Anolis sagrei: one gene and its partners. The protein of the gene in region 2 binds, or shares a complex with, the protein of the main gene of each other region. Links are inferred from orthologs where the notes say so. Each region holds a gene or a part of one and is shown on either strand. Other genes may lie near its edges.

Evidence for each region.
Region 1: SARNP (region 2) and THOC5 share a complex: the UniProt entries of both Homo sapiens proteins name them as parts of the transcription/export (TREX) complex. The link is inferred for Anolis sagrei from reciprocal best matches to the Homo sapiens genes SARNP and THOC5.
Region 3: SARNP (region 2) and THOC7 share a complex: the UniProt entries of both Homo sapiens proteins name them as parts of the transcription/export (TREX) complex. The link is inferred for Anolis sagrei from reciprocal best matches to the Homo sapiens genes SARNP and THOC7.

What each region holds. Positions count from the first base shown.
Region 1 is NC_090034.1:48,713,485-48,718,444, forward strand, and holds the start of THOC5 (THO complex subunit 5 homolog), read right to left. Parts: upstream 3,537-4,960; 5' UTR 3,474-3,536; intron 1,194-3,473; 5' UTR 1,186-1,193; coding exon 1,084-1,185; intron 979-1,083; coding exon 835-978; intron 136-834; coding exon 22-135; intron 1-21. UniProt on the Homo sapiens protein: Component of the THO subcomplex of the TREX complex which is thought to couple mRNA transcription, processing and nuclear export, and which specifically associates with spliced mRNA and not with unspliced pre-mRNA.
Region 2 is NC_090022.1:146,094,627-146,099,586, reverse strand, and holds the start of SARNP (SAP domain-containing ribonucleoprotein), read right to left. Parts: upstream 2,893-4,960; 5' UTR 2,832-2,892; coding exon 2,784-2,831; intron 1-2,783. UniProt on the Homo sapiens protein: Binds both single-stranded and double-stranded DNA with higher affinity for the single-stranded form. Specifically binds to scaffold/matrix attachment region DNA. Also binds single-stranded RNA. Enhances RNA unwinding activity of DDX39A.
Region 3 is NC_090022.1:33,441,401-33,446,360, forward strand, and holds the start of THOC7 (THO complex subunit 7 homolog), read right to left. Parts: upstream 3,069-4,960; 5' UTR 3,004-3,068; coding exon 2,985-3,003; intron 1,054-2,984; coding exon 936-1,053; intron 1-935. UniProt on the Homo sapiens protein: Component of the THO subcomplex of the TREX complex which is thought to couple mRNA transcription, processing and nuclear export, and which specifically associates with spliced mRNA and not with unspliced pre-mRNA.

The DNA of each region.
Region 1 (4,960 bases), on a different chromosome or scaffold from region 2:
GAAAAGTCACCACAAACTCACCTCATGGGTCTGGTCTCGTCCGCTCTTCAGCCGAATGTGAGCCAAACGGTTGAGCTTCTTCAGGGTCATAAAATGGACGCAGCTCTGGATCCGGCGCTCTTCAATCTCCGCTGCCTGGGGAACACATTGCCGCAAATGGACCTCAACATTATATCAATATTTGTGCGTATATATATATATATACACACACACACACACACACAAAAAACAGATATTATGTGATTATATACACACACACACACACACAAAATATTTCCTGCCACCATCTCCTGAAAAGGACTTGGGGCAGCTTACACACCAACAAAAGTGCAATACAGAAGACATAAAATACAAGAAAGGTTTGCCCAACTCGATTGGTAACGTGTCATTTCCCAGTTGGTGTATCAGAAAAGCTGAGAAGTTCATGAAACTGCACTAAAGATGAAAAATGGCCTACTTTCACCTTTCTCCAGTTTTGAGAAGAAAGCCTACTTTCCCCCTTCTCGAGTTTCAAGACCAATTTTCCGCCTTCTCCAGCTCTGAAAGTGAGCCTACTTCTCCCCTTCTCCAGTTTTTAGAAGACCTGTTTTCCCCGTTCTTCAGCTCTGAAAGGCCTACTTTCCCCTGTCTCCAGTTTCGAGAAAGTGGCCTACTTTCCACCTTCTCCAGCTCTGAAAGTGGGCCTATTTTTTCCCTTCTTGCAAGGAGGAATTATAATTTTGCACAGCCCTAACACACGTGAAATTAATCCCTCAGTGGGTAGGCTTGGAGGAGAGGCCTCCTGCATTTGGGAGAGGGTTAGGTCAGATTTCCTCTGGGGCTCCTCAAACGTACACTGTCCCGGCCGCCTCGGCTCTTCAGCTCCTGGATCTCGAGCATCAGGCGCTGGAGGTCCTGGCAGGTGCGCTGGTAGAGGGCAAAATCCTTGCTGGGATCCCGCAGCTCCACCTCCGCCTCCTCACTCAAAGGCCGTCCCTCCTGTCAAAACAGAGAGGATGAGAGAGAGATCTAGTTCCCCAAACCCCCCCCCCCCCCCCCCGGTTCAGCTTTCCCAGGCATAGCCTGCCCTCACCCCATACCCACCTGGCTATGCTCGGCCTCTGCCCGGCTGCGCTTCCCTTCCGAAGCAACACCCTCTGTCCGGATGACCTTTGGCTTGCGCTTCTTCCCGGACTCCGAAGACATGCTCTTGCCTTTAAGAAAGACCAGACTATGCATTAAGGGTAAAGCATACAATATTATATATATTAGATCCTATCCAGTTTGTAAACGATCTGCTCTTTTTGGGCTTCACGCAAATCTACCCTTTGCCAATAATATATATATTGTATGCACACATATACACACACACATCTCTCCGTATATACATTTATATTAAATATAATGTATATATAATATCAGATGGATATGGATGGACAGAATAGAAGAAATTGTGGATAGATTGGTAGATGGATAGCTAGCTAGTAGGAAATGTGGATAGATTTGTGGATGGATGGATTGGTGGATGGATGAATACATAGACAGATAGAACAGATTGAATTGTGGAGAGATTGGTGGATGGATGGACAGCTAGAAGGAAATGTGGACAGATTAGTAGATGGATAGATTGGTGGATGGATGGATGGTTGGATAATACAGAATAATAGGAGGAAAATATGCATTAATAAAGAAAAATTCATAGGAATAAGAAGAAAATCTAGGAGCAAAATAATATATATATATATATATATATATAATCATTCTATATCATTATATTACAATATTATTATCATTATATAGTCTTATATATAAGGTAAAGGTTTGCCCTTGACATTAAGTCCAGTCGAGTCTGACTCTGGGGAGTAGTGCTCATCTCCATTTCAAAGCCAAAGAGCCAATGTTGTCCGTAGACACCACCTAGGTCATGTGGCCGGCGTGACTGCATGGAGTGCCATTACCTTCCTGCAGAAGTGGTACCTATTGATCTACTCAAATTTGCATATTTTTAAACTGCTAGGTTGGCAGAAGCTGGGGCTAACACTGAGAGTTCACCCTGCTCCCAGGATTTGAACCGCCAACCTTTCGGTCATCAAGTTCAGCAGCTCAGCAGTTTAACCTGCTGTGCCATCTGGGGCTCCTAATCTTATATATTTATTTCTTTGGATTTTTTTTTTTTTGGAGTGCTTCTACCCCGCCCTTCTCAACCCCCTAGGAGGGACTCAGGGCGGCTTACAAAAAAGCACAATTCGATGCCTAACAATTCACAAAATACAGTACAATATACAATATACAATACACAAATTTACCATATAATGTCAACAATTATAACTAATTAAGACAGTCAAACAATATACTAGCAGCAATAAAATCATCTTGTGGTCAATGTTCACCAATTCATAGTCCGTAATCCATCTAGCATCGTCATTATCCTTTCCTACTCTGTGTATAGATATATATATTCTAACATGTATGCATGTTATATATTAATATCTTCTCATTCTAACACAGAGGTCGAGATGATATCTGAACAATAATTATATTAGGTTCTTGTAGGTTTTTTCGGGCTACAGGGCCATGTTCTAGAGGCATTTCTCCTGACGTTTCGCCTGCATCTATGGCAAGCATCCTCACTACCTCTGAGGATGCTTGCCATAGATGCAGGCGAAACGTCAGAAGAAATGCCTCTAGAACATGGCCATATAGACCAAAAAAACCTACAAGAACCTAGTGATTCCAGCCATGAAAGCCTTTGACAATAATTATATTTATTTACTATATTTCTATACTGCCATTCTCAGCCCAAGGGCAACTCGTGGCAGTTTACAAAACGGCACAATTCGATGCCCACAACAGTACAAAGATAATTAAACATTAAAAACATTTAACATAGATAAAAAATTCATTACAAATAACATCAATAAAACATAATAAAAACAATATATTCTCTTGCATATATATATTTAAATAATATTAGACTATATATATATATAGAAAACAACACAAGTAGAAATCGGGTTTTTTTTAATGTGTTAAAAAGATAAACAATGCTATAGCAAAAAAGAGGGGGGAAATACCTGTGTTTTGTGAAGGAAAATATACAATAATAAGAAAATACAGAAAAGAATAAGAAACAATTAAAAGTATTATGTATTTTATATAAGCAGAGAAAAAATATATGTCTTTTATGAAGAGAAAATCTATAGAAATAAATGAGGCCTAAATAACAGGAAAATATGTATATAATCGAGGAAAAATACAACTAATCAGAAGGAAAAATGCAAGGAAATAAAAGACTAATAATCCTAATAAATGCAGTTTATTAAACCGCATGGAATTTAATTAAGAAAAACACATAAAAGATATACAGCAATAGATAGTGATAGCAGGGGAAAACACATGAGTTTTATGAAGGAACATACAGATAGAGAAAAAAGAGCAGGCATTTATTTCGAAGGAAAAAGGTCCAACAACGGGGAAATGAGAGAGAAACTCACCGCAACAGGCCTTCACTAGGACTCTCGACGCCGAGCGGAAGTGACGTCAGACGAGGGAGAAAGCAAGCTCGGCGAATGCACGGGCCGCCCCTCTACCGCCCCCGGTGGCGCCCAGGCGTCATTGCAGGCAAGGGTTGCTTTCAAGCCAGAAGGGTTTGGGAGAGATGATGATTTTTTCGTGTCAGGAGCGAACCAAAACAGTTGTATTGCATTAAAAACAAACAAAAAAACCCACAAAGTTTGCAGAGTTGGTATTCTACTAAATGTTCTTTGACCAGAAACTGGCCACTCGGAGTGCCTCTGGTGTTGCTGCAAGAAGGTCCTCCATTGTGCATGGGCTCAGGTTGCATTGGTGTAGTGGTCTGTGGTTTGCGCTTCTCCACACCTGCATGTTGTGGACTCCACTTTGTGGCCCCATTTCTTAAGGTTGGCTGCATCTCGTGGTGCCTGTTCAGCGCCTTCCAAGTCCTCTGTGTGCCCAGGGGGGAGTCTCTCATTTGGTATCAGCCATTGATTGAGGTTCTGGGTTTGAGCCTGCCACTTTTGGACTCTCGCTTGCTGAGGTGTTCCAGCGAATGTCTCTGTAGATCTTAGAAAAAAAAAATCTTGATTTAAGTCATTGATGTGCTGGCTGATGCCCAAACAAGGGATGAGCTGGAGATGTCACTGCCTTGGTCCTTCACTATTGGTTGCTACTTCTCCGTGGATGTCAGGTGGTGCAATGCTGGCTAAACAATGTAATTTCTCCAGTGGTGTAGGGCGCAGACACCCCGTGATAATGAGGCATGTCTCATTAAGAGCCACATCCACTGTTTTAATGTGGTGAGATGTGTTCCACACTGGGCATGCATACTCAGCAACAGAGTAGCAAAGCGCAAGGGCAGATGTCTTCACTGTATCTGGTTGTGATCCCCAGATTGTGCCAGTCAGCTTTCATATGATATTGTTTCTAGCGCCCACTTTTTGCTTGAAATTCAGGCAGTGCTTCTTGTAAGTCAAGCACGGTCCAGGGTAACTCCCAGGTATTTGGGTGTGCTGCAATGCTTCAGTGGGGTTCCTTCCCAGGTCATCCTCAGAGCTCGGGATGCTTGTCTGTTCTTAAGATTAAAAGTACATGTCTGTGTTTTAGATGGATTAGGAATCAGCTGGTTTTCCCTGTAATGGGCAGTAAGAGCACCTAGATCTTCGGAAAGTTTCTGTTCAACCATCTCAGAGCTCCCTGCTTGGGCAGTAATGGCACGATCATCAGCACAGATTAAACTCTCTGTCTTTTCTGGCAGTGGTTGATCATTTGTGTAAATGTTCAACATTGATGGAGCAAGCACGCTCCCCTGAGGAGGTGATGATCATGATCATCGAAAATTACTCACATCGAGGGCACAGAGATGCTAAATGGACAAACCATAATGTGCAATCAGCCTGTAGCCTATAAATATCTGGGCATACTTTATTGTTTATTCATTCAGTCACTTCCAACTCTTTGTGAC
Region 2 (4,960 bases):
GCTGGGTTTGAATGAGGGGTTGGAGCAAAAGGCAAGTGCTGCTCTCTGTGCTGCATCTGGGCTTGGGGGTGGAAGCAAGAACCGGGACTCAGCAACTGGCTCAGGTGTCATGTCAGGTGGAACTTCTGTGCCTTCACTTCCCTAGTTAGCCATGGAAAACTGTATGAGAGAGAGAGACTGATTTTCTCACCAGCTTGTCACCACCACAAGGCAACAGATCTCTTTCCCCCTCCTCCAGGCCATCCAACTCATGAATCTGCAAACTCACACTGTGTATATATGTGAATGCCCATATTTTACCCCAAGTGGCACAATGGGTTAAACCCTTGTGCTGGCAGGACTGCTGATCAAAAGGTCAGTGGTTCAAATCCAGGAGCGGGGTGAGGTCCCATTTGTCAGCTCCAGCTTCTAATGCAGGGACATGAGAGAAGGCTCCCACAGGCTGGTAGAACATCTGGGTGTCCCCTGAGCAACATCCTTGCAGACGGCCAATTCTCTCACACCAGAAGCGATTTACAATTTCAATGTATTGTCGAAGGCTTTCATGGCTGGAATCACTAGGTTCTTGTGGGTTTTTTCGGGCTATAGAGCCATGTTCTAGAGGCATTTCTCCTGACGTTTCACCTGCATCTATGGCAAGCATCCTCAGAGGTAGTGAGGTCTGTTGGAATTAGGACAATGGGTTTATATATCTGTGGAATGGCTGGGGTGGGGCAAGGAGCGCTTCCCTGCTGCAGTTAGGTGTGAATGTTTCACCTGATCACCTTCATTAGCATTTGAAGGCCTGCCTGAGCCTGGGAAAATCTCTTGCTGGGAGGTGTTAATCTGTGCCTGGTTGTTTCCTCTCTGTTGTTTTGCTGTTGTAATTTTAGAGTTTTTTAATACTGGTAGCCAGATTTTGTTCGTTTTCATGGTCTCTTCCTTTCTGTTGAAATTGTCCACATGCTTGTGGATTTCAATGGTTTCTCTGTGTAGTCTGACATGGTGGTGGTTGGTGTGGTCCAGCATTTCTGTGTTCTCAAATAATATGCTGTGTCCAGGCTGGTTCATCAGGTGCTCTGCTATGGCTGACTTCTCTGGTTGAAGTAGTCTGCAGTGCCTTTCATGTTCCTTGATGCGTGTCTGGGCGCTGCGTTTGGTGGTCCCTATGTAGACTTGTCCACAGCTGCATGGTATACGGTAGACTCCTGCAGAGGTGAGAGGATCCCTCTTGTCCTTTGCTGAACGTAGCATTTGTTGGATTTTCTTGGTGGGTTTGTAGATTGTTTGTATGTTGTGTTTCCTCATCAGCTTCACCCAGAGGAAAAGTGTCCCTGCCATACATCAAGGGAACCACTGACCGCATAGGGAAGCTGATGAGGAAACACAACATGCAAACAATCTACAAACCCACCAAGAAAATCCAACAAATGCTACGTTACCATGCAGCTGTGGACAAGTCTACATAGGGACCACCAGACCTCATGGACCAGCCCACGCCAGAGCTCCCTGTTAGCCGTGGCCATCCCCAGCTCCTTCAAAGTTAAGCCAGTCACTTCAAGGATACCATTGCCCTTGGTCAACCTCTCTTCCTTTTTCTTTCCATTTTCCCCAGCATCATTATCTTCTCCATGGTTTCATGTCCTCATTATGTGGCCACAGTACTTCATCTTTGCCTCTAATATCCTTCCCTCCAGTGAGCAGTCAGGCTTTTTTCCCTAAAGTATGGACAGGTTGGATCTTCTTGCAGTCCAAGGAATTATCCGAATTTTCCTCCAGCACCACAGTTCTTCCTTCTTTATGGTCCACCTTTCACATCCATAGGTTGCAAGGGGAATACCATTGCTTTAACTATGCAGATCTTCGTTGCCAATGTGCTGTCTTAACTATTTTAACGAGATTGGCCATTGCTCTCCTCCCAAGAAGTAAAGTCTCCTGATTTCCTGGCTGCAGTCTGCATCTGCAGTAATCTTTGCACCTAGAAATACAAAGTCTGTCACTGCCTCCACGTTTTCTCTCTCTATTTGCCATTTATCAATCAGTCTGGTTGCCATAATCTTGGGTTTTTAATGTTTAGCTGCAACCCAGCTTTTGCACTTTCTTCTTTCACCTTGGTTAGAAGACTCCTCAGCTTCTCCTCGCTTTTGGCCATCAAACAGCCATGCTTATCCGAAATGATGCTACATTGAGAAGGGGCGAGCTTGTTTTCTTCTGGCCTGGAAGCTAGGGCCCAATGGAGAAATGGATTCAAACTGCAGGATAGAAAATGCCCTTTCAACGTGAGGAAAAACTTCCTGAGGGCAAGTGCTGTTCGACAGGGGACAGACTGCTCCCTTAGAGTGTGGCGGAGACTCCTTACAGCCGGTTGGGTTTGGCTGTTAGGAATTGTGGGAGTTGAAGTCCAAAGCACCTGGAGAGCCGGAGTTTGCCCATGCCTGTATAAGAGGGTGCTTTGATTGTGTATCCCTGCATGGCAGAAAAGGGTTGCACAGGACGGCCCTTGGGGCCTCCTCCAATTGACCTGGGAAAGGCCTTCCTCAGCGGGAGGTGGGAAAGTGGGAGGCGCCGTGAGAGAGGGAAGGCCTGCAAGGCAGCTCCATCCTGCCCTCACGAGAGAGAGAGAGAGAGAGAGAGAGAGAGAGAGAGAGGCACGAGCCCACCCCCTGAGGAGAAGCAGACGCCGCTCCAGCCAAAGAAAGCACGAAGCGCCTGGCAAGAAGGGGAGGCCACGCGCCGCTTCCTCGACTCCTCAAAAATAAATAAATAACCGACATGCCGACCCCGCGCGACTGGCCTCGCGCTACCTTCAACTTGTGGAGCTCCACAGTTTCTGCCACCACCGCCGCCGCCATCTTCTCCTCACCAGGTCCTCCACGCGCCCCCTCCCCGTCCTGCGCGTGGCACCCAATCAGGGCGGCGCTCTCACTGGAGCCTCACACCTCGCAGCATCGCCTCTCCTCATTGGCTCCTCGAACGGAGAGGCGAAACGTCGTAAAGGGGAGCTGCCAATAGGACGGGAGGAAGGAGGATGGAGGAGTCAGCGATTGGCTGGCTGGTTGGCGGGAGGGTGGGAAGCGGAGGCGATGCCGGCTGTCTTCCTGGAACCCTCTTCCCTGCCGGGCGAGGGAGAGGCGCTGGCTGCTGCTGCTGCGGAGCCCCGTTTCCTGGAGGGAGAGGCGCTCCCGCGGAAGACGCCAGGTAGGCGCCCAAGGAGGGCAAACTGGAGGCCCTCCTCCCAGAGAGAGGGGAGCGAGGGCGCGCTCACGGTGTAGAAAGGAGGCAGTGCCGCACCATCTGGACTGACAGGACTCAAGGCTATGGCACCTTGGGGGTTGTGCTTTGGCAGGGCCTTTAGCCTTCTCTGCCGAAGAGGGTGGGTGCCTCGCCTCACCACACTAGACATCCCACGACCCCAAAGCCTTCAGCCATGCCATACCAAGTGTAGTTGTTTTTTATTCGTTCAGTTGCTTCCCACTCTTCGTGACCTCATGGACCATTCCACGCCATAACTCCCTGTCAGCCGTCACCACCCCCAACTCCTTCACAGTCAAGCGAGTCACTTCAAGGGTACCACGCATCCATCTTGCCCATGGTCGGCCCCTCTTCCTTTTCCATTTCCCCCAGCATCATTGTCTTCTCTAAGCTTTCCTGTCTTCTCATGATGTGGCCAAAGTACTTCATCTTGGCCTCTACTATCCTTTCCTCCAATGAGCAATCGGGCTTTATTTCCTGAAGTATGGACTGGCTTGATCTTCTTAGAACCATAGAGTTGGAAGAGACCTCATAGGCCATCCAGTCCAACCCCCCTGCCAAGAAGCAGGAATATTGCATTCAAAGCACCCCTGACAGATGGCCATCCAGCCTGTTTAAAAACCTCCAAAGGAGGAGCCTCCACCATACGCCAGGGCAGAGAGTTCCACTGCTGAATGGCTCTCACAGTCAGGAAGTTCTTCCTCATGTTCAGATGGAATCTCCTTCTTGTTGTCCAAGGCACTCTCAGATTTTTACTCCAGCACCACAGTTCAAAAGCATCTATCTTCCTTCGCTCAGCCTTCCCTATGGTCCAGCTCTCACATCTGTAGGTGACTACAGGGAATACCATTGCTTTAACTATGTGGATCTACATTGCCAGTGTGATGTCTCTACTCTTTACTATTTTATCAAGACTGGACATTGCTCTCCTCCCAAGAAGTAAGCGTCTTCTGATTTCCTGGCTGCAGTCTGCATCTGCAGTAATCTTTGCACCTAGAAATACAAAGTCTGTCACTTCCTCCATGTTTTCTCCCTCTATTTTCCAGTTGTCAATCAGTCTGGTTGCCATAATCTTGGTTTTTTTATGTTTAGCAGCAACCCAGCTTTTGCACTTTCTTCTTTCACCTTGATTAGAAGGCTCCTCAGCTCCTTCTCACTTTTGGCCATCAAAGTGGTATCATCTCAATATCTAAGGTTGTTAATATTTCTTCCAGCAAATTTTACCCCAGCCTTGCATTCATCAAGCCCCGCACATTGCATGATGTGTTTTCTACATACATGTTGAATAGGTTGGGTGAGAGTATACAACCCTGCCTTATACCCAATCTTGAACCAGTCTGTTGTTCTATGGTCAGTTCTCACTGTTGCTACTGGATCCTTGTACAGATTCCTCAGGGGAGAGACAAGGTGGCTTGGGATCCCCATACCACCAAGAACTAGCCACAATTTATTATGATCCACACAGTCAAAGGCTTTAGAATAGTCAATAAAATAGAAAAAGATGTTTTTTCTGAAACTCCCTGCCTTTCTCCATCATCCAGCAGGTATTGGCAATTTGACCTGGAACTTTGGCATACCATGTTCAAATAGTTTGCCTCAGTTGAGATTGTCCTGCCTGTATAATGATTGAAAGCAAAGCTGCTCCACCTGCGGCATCCTCTGAAATTCACCCCTACCAATCAAGACAGGCATATATTTCCGAATCCAAACTATAGCGGATGACAAGCAG
Region 3 (4,960 bases), about 110 Mb from region 2:
AGAACTGGCCGTCTGAAAGGATGTGGCCCAGATGTTTTGATGTTTTATCATTCCTGTGGGAGGCTAGAGCTGATAAGAGGGAGCTCATCTGTGCTCTCCCCAGATTTGAACCTCCAACCTGTTGGTCTTCAGTCCTGCTGACACAAGGGTTTATTTTATTATTTTAAAGCACCGAGGGCTCTATCTGCATACACGTCTCTGCCACTTTATTTACAGGACATGACTATCTACAGTCAGTGTAAACTGCAAAATACATTATCAAGGTTCATAATTCCAGAGAGAATGCGGAATAATGTACATTTGGAAATGTCAAAATACTTAAGTAACTAGTGTATGATACTTGCTCAGAGTCATTTACATTTCATTACAACCTTTACACTATTTCAATATTTGTTTTCCTGAAAAAGAGTCTTTCTTTGTGTTCATTGAAATATACTCTACCAGTAAAAAACTTCACATTCAAAATGCACTACTAAATGTCATTGGACACAATCCCCATGCCCCTTTAACATTAGTAGATATTACAGAGTACTGGCGTTTGATGGGCTGCACTTAGTTTCCATTTATTGATAAGATTTTACCATGTATAAATATGTGAGAGGAAGCCACAGGGAGGAGGGAGCAAGCTTGTTTTCTGCTTCCCTGGAGACTAGGACGCGGAACAATGGCTTCAAACTACAAGAGAGGAGATTCCATCTGAACATGAGGAAGAACTTCCTGACTGTGAGAGCCGTTCAGCAGTGGAACTCTCTGCCCCGGAGTGTGGTGGAGGCTCCTTCTTTGGAGGCTTTTAAGCAGAGGCTGGATGGCCATCTGTCAGGGGTGATTTGAATGCAATATTCCTGCTTCTTGGCAGGGGGTTGGACTGGATGGCCCATGAGGTCTCTTCCAACTCTCTGATTCTATGATTCTATGATTCTAAGATAGAAAAATACCCTTCTTCTTGGGATCCAGAATTGCACCACTTGATGAAACTCTTCACCAACAAATTAATTCGTCTGTCATCACCAGCACCATCTCCATCAATCAAAAGTCGCTTGCGAATAACTTCATCTAAAGAAGAAACAATATTTCAAAATTAATAATGTTCGTTTATGAGTTGTGATCACAGACACAGGGCCCTTCCACACAGCCCTATAACCCAGAATATCAAGGCAGAAAATCCCACAATATCTGCTTTGGACTGGGTTATCTGAGTCCACACTGAGATGTGGGATTTCCTAGCTTGATATTCCCTGATATAGGACAGTGTGGAAGAGCCCATAGTCAGGACCTAAGGAAATTACCTGAATCTTGGATCAGATCGCAGTACAAAGGGCTGTGTGGAAGGGCCCTCCAACCACAGATGGGGAACCATTCACTTTCCAAAGGTTTTGGCCTCTCTATTTCCATCCAACATGGGCCAATGACTGTGGATTGTGTGATCCAAAATATTTGGAGAGTCAAATGTCCCTCACATCTTCCTTAAATATATACATACTGTTATCAAAATAAGGATATTTTCCTTCTTTTTAGATACATTGTTTAATTAATGCAAATAGGAAATCAGAATCTAACTTTAAAGTAAAATTGATTATTATTACCATTATTATTAACATTGTTATGTGGAGAAAGACAAATCTAAGGGCCCTTCCACATAGCCATATAAACCAGAATACCAAGGCAGAAAATCCCACAATATCTGAACTGGGTTATCTGAGTCCACACTGCTATATATTCCAGTTCAAAGCAGAAAATGTGGGATTTTATCCAGCTGCATGGAAAGTACTTGAAGTGTGAAACAGGAGAATGATACAGGGAATATGGAAACGACCAAATGCAAAAAAAAATTTATTCAGCTGTGTGGAAGTGGCCCCAGATAACCCAGTTCAAAACTGAGACTGTGGGATTTTCTGCCTTGATATTCTGGGGGCTCTTCCACAAGGCCCTGAATGCCAGAATATCAAAGCAGAAAATCCCACATTATCTAAGGGCCTTTCCACACAGCCATATAATCCTGAATATCAAGGCAGAAAATCCCACATTATCTAAGGGCCTTCCCACACAGCCATATAATCCAGAATATTGAGGCAGAAAATCCCACAATATCTGCTCTGAACTGAGTTATCTGAGTCCACATTGCCATATATCCCAGTTCAAAGCAGAAAATGAGGGATTTCATTCAGCTGTGTGGAAGGGGCCTGTGTGGATTCAGATAACCCAATTCAACGCAGATATAGTGGGATTGTCTGCCTTGATATTCTGGGATATAGGGCTGTGTGGAAGGGCCCTCAGATAACCCAGTTCAAAGCAGATATTGTGGGATTGTCTGCCTTGATATTCTGGGCTATAGGGCTGTGTGGGTTGTCTGAGTCCACATTGCCACAATATCTGCTTTGAACTGGGTTATCTGAGGGCCCTTCCACACAGCCCTATATCCCAGAATATCAAGGCAGACAATCCCACTATATCTGCGTTGAATTAGGTTATCTGAATCCACACAGCTGAATGAAACCCCTCATTTTCTGCTTTGAACTGGGATATATGGCAATGTGGACTCAGATAACTCAGTTCAAAGCAGATATTGTGGGACTTTCTGCCTTGATATTCTGGGCTAGAGGGCTGTGTGGGTTGCCTGAGTCCACCGTGCCATCTATCCCAGTTCAAAGCAGAGAACGTGGGGTTGTATTCATTCAGGTGTGGAAGAGGCCTCAGGGCGCCCCACACTCCTTCCCAAAGGTGAAAACCACCCCAGGAGGGGGAAGAAGAGAGCGAAGGCCTCAGTGAGGAGGAGGGAAGAGGAGGCCTGGAAGAGGAGGAAGGATGTGAAGGCCTTGCTGAGGCGAAGGCCATGAGGGCAGAAGGGACTCGAGCCTGAGGGAAAGGAAGGAGGAAAGAAAGGAGGAAAGAGAGGGCCCGGGAAGGCCTCGCTGGCTGGGAGCAAGAAGGGTCGCGGCGGCCGCTGTCCCCTCCTTGGCCGGCTCTGGAGGCGCTGGGTCTCTCACCATCGGTGACGGCGCCCATGGCGATGGCGAAGGCCGCGGCGGAGGCAGGAGGGAGCGAGTGAGGAAGTGAGGGAGTGAGGCGGCTTCCCACAATGCAGCGGCGGCGGCGGCAGTAGCAGGAGCAGCCGGGTAAGCGGCGGCGGCAGCAGCAGGAGCAGCAGGAGCGGCGGCGGCGGCCATGGAGGGGGAGGAGGAGGCGTCGTCGTCGTCGTGGGCTGCTGCGCCTGGGCCCTGAAGCAGGCCGGGCGCGGGTTCCAAGGGGAGGGCGACTCGCTAGGCTTGGCTCGGCAAGCAGGCCCGCCTCGCCCCGCCCGCCTGCCCCTTCCTCCGCTCCAGGTGAGAGCCAGGCAGGGGGAAGCGTTCACCCACCACCAGAAATCCCTGCCTCTCCCCTTTGGTGACCTTTTGGCCACGCTGGGGAATTAACGCAGTTTGACACCGCTTCGAAGGCAGGTTGGACTTTTGGTGAGGCCCCAGCCAGAGAAGGCGCCAGGCCTCGGGAAACTTTTCAGTGCTACGGGATCCTGGGATTTATAGATTTGGGTGAGGCACCTACACACTGACAGAAGCTAGTGCAGGCCTGGGCGAACTTGGGCCCTCCAGGTGTTTTGGATTTCAACTCCCACAATTGTGGAACTTGAAGTCCAAAACACCTGGTGGGCCCAAGTTCACACAGGCCTGAGCTATAGAGTTTGTGAAACTACATCTCCCATGAATACATAGTATCCAGCCAGGATAAAGTGGGGTCAAACTCCACCCATCCTACCTTTACAGGCATGGCTCAATGCTATGGACTCCTGGGATTTGTAGTTTTGGGTGAGGCACCTACACTTGGGCAGAAAGCTATCTCCAGCCTGAGCCAACTTGGGCCCACCAGGTGTTTTGGACTTCATCTCCCACAATTGTGGAAGTTGAAGTCTAAAACACCTGGTGGGCCCAAGTTCACCCAGGCCTGAGCTATAGAGTTTGTAGAACTACGGCTCCCGCGAATCCATAGCATCCAGCCAGGATAGATAAAGTGGTGACAGACTGCACCCATTCTATCTTAACAGGTATGGCTCAATGCTATGGAATCCAGGGATTTGGTTTTGGGTGAGGCACCTACACTTGGGCAGAAAGCTAGTTCAGGCCTGGGCAAACTTGGGCCCTCCAGGTGTTTTGGACTTCAACTCCCACTAGCTCAGGCCTGGGCCAACTTGGGCCCTCCAGGTGTTTTTTGACTTCAACTCCCACAATTTTGGAAGTTGAAGTCCAAAACACCTGGAGGGCCCAAGTTCACCCAAGCCCGAGCTATAGAGTTTGTAAAACTACATGTCCCATGAATCCATAGTGTCGAGCCAGGATAGATAAAGTGGTGTCAAACTCCACCCATCCTACCTTAACAGGCATGGCTCAATGCTATGGAATCCTGGGATTTGTAGTTTTGGGTGAGGTACCTACATTTTGGCAGAAAGTCAGAGAGTTTGTAAAAGGATAGTTAAAGTGATGTTTTGTTGGGGATGCCACTTGAACATTAGGAAGAACTTCATGACTGTAATAACACCTGTTCAGCAGTAGACTACATGGCCCATGTGGTCTTCATGATTCTGTGTCAAACTGCAATGATTCTACTTTAATGGCCGTGGCTCAATACTATGGAATCCTGGGATTTGTAATTTTGGGTGAGGCACCTACACGTGGGCAGAAAGCCATATAGTTTGTAAAACGATAGTTAAAGTGATGTTTTATTGGGGATTCCACTTGAACATTAGGAAGAACTTCATGACTGTAATAACACCTGTTCAGCAGTAGGCTACATGGCCCATGCAGTCTTCATGATTCTGTGCCAAACTGCATTGATTCTACTTTAACGTCCATGGCTCAATGCTATGGAATCCTGGGATTTGTAGTTTTGGGTGAAGCACCTATACTTTGTCAGCAAACTAGACTCGAGTTTGTAAAACTACAGTTCCCATGGTATCATAGTAGTGAGCCAG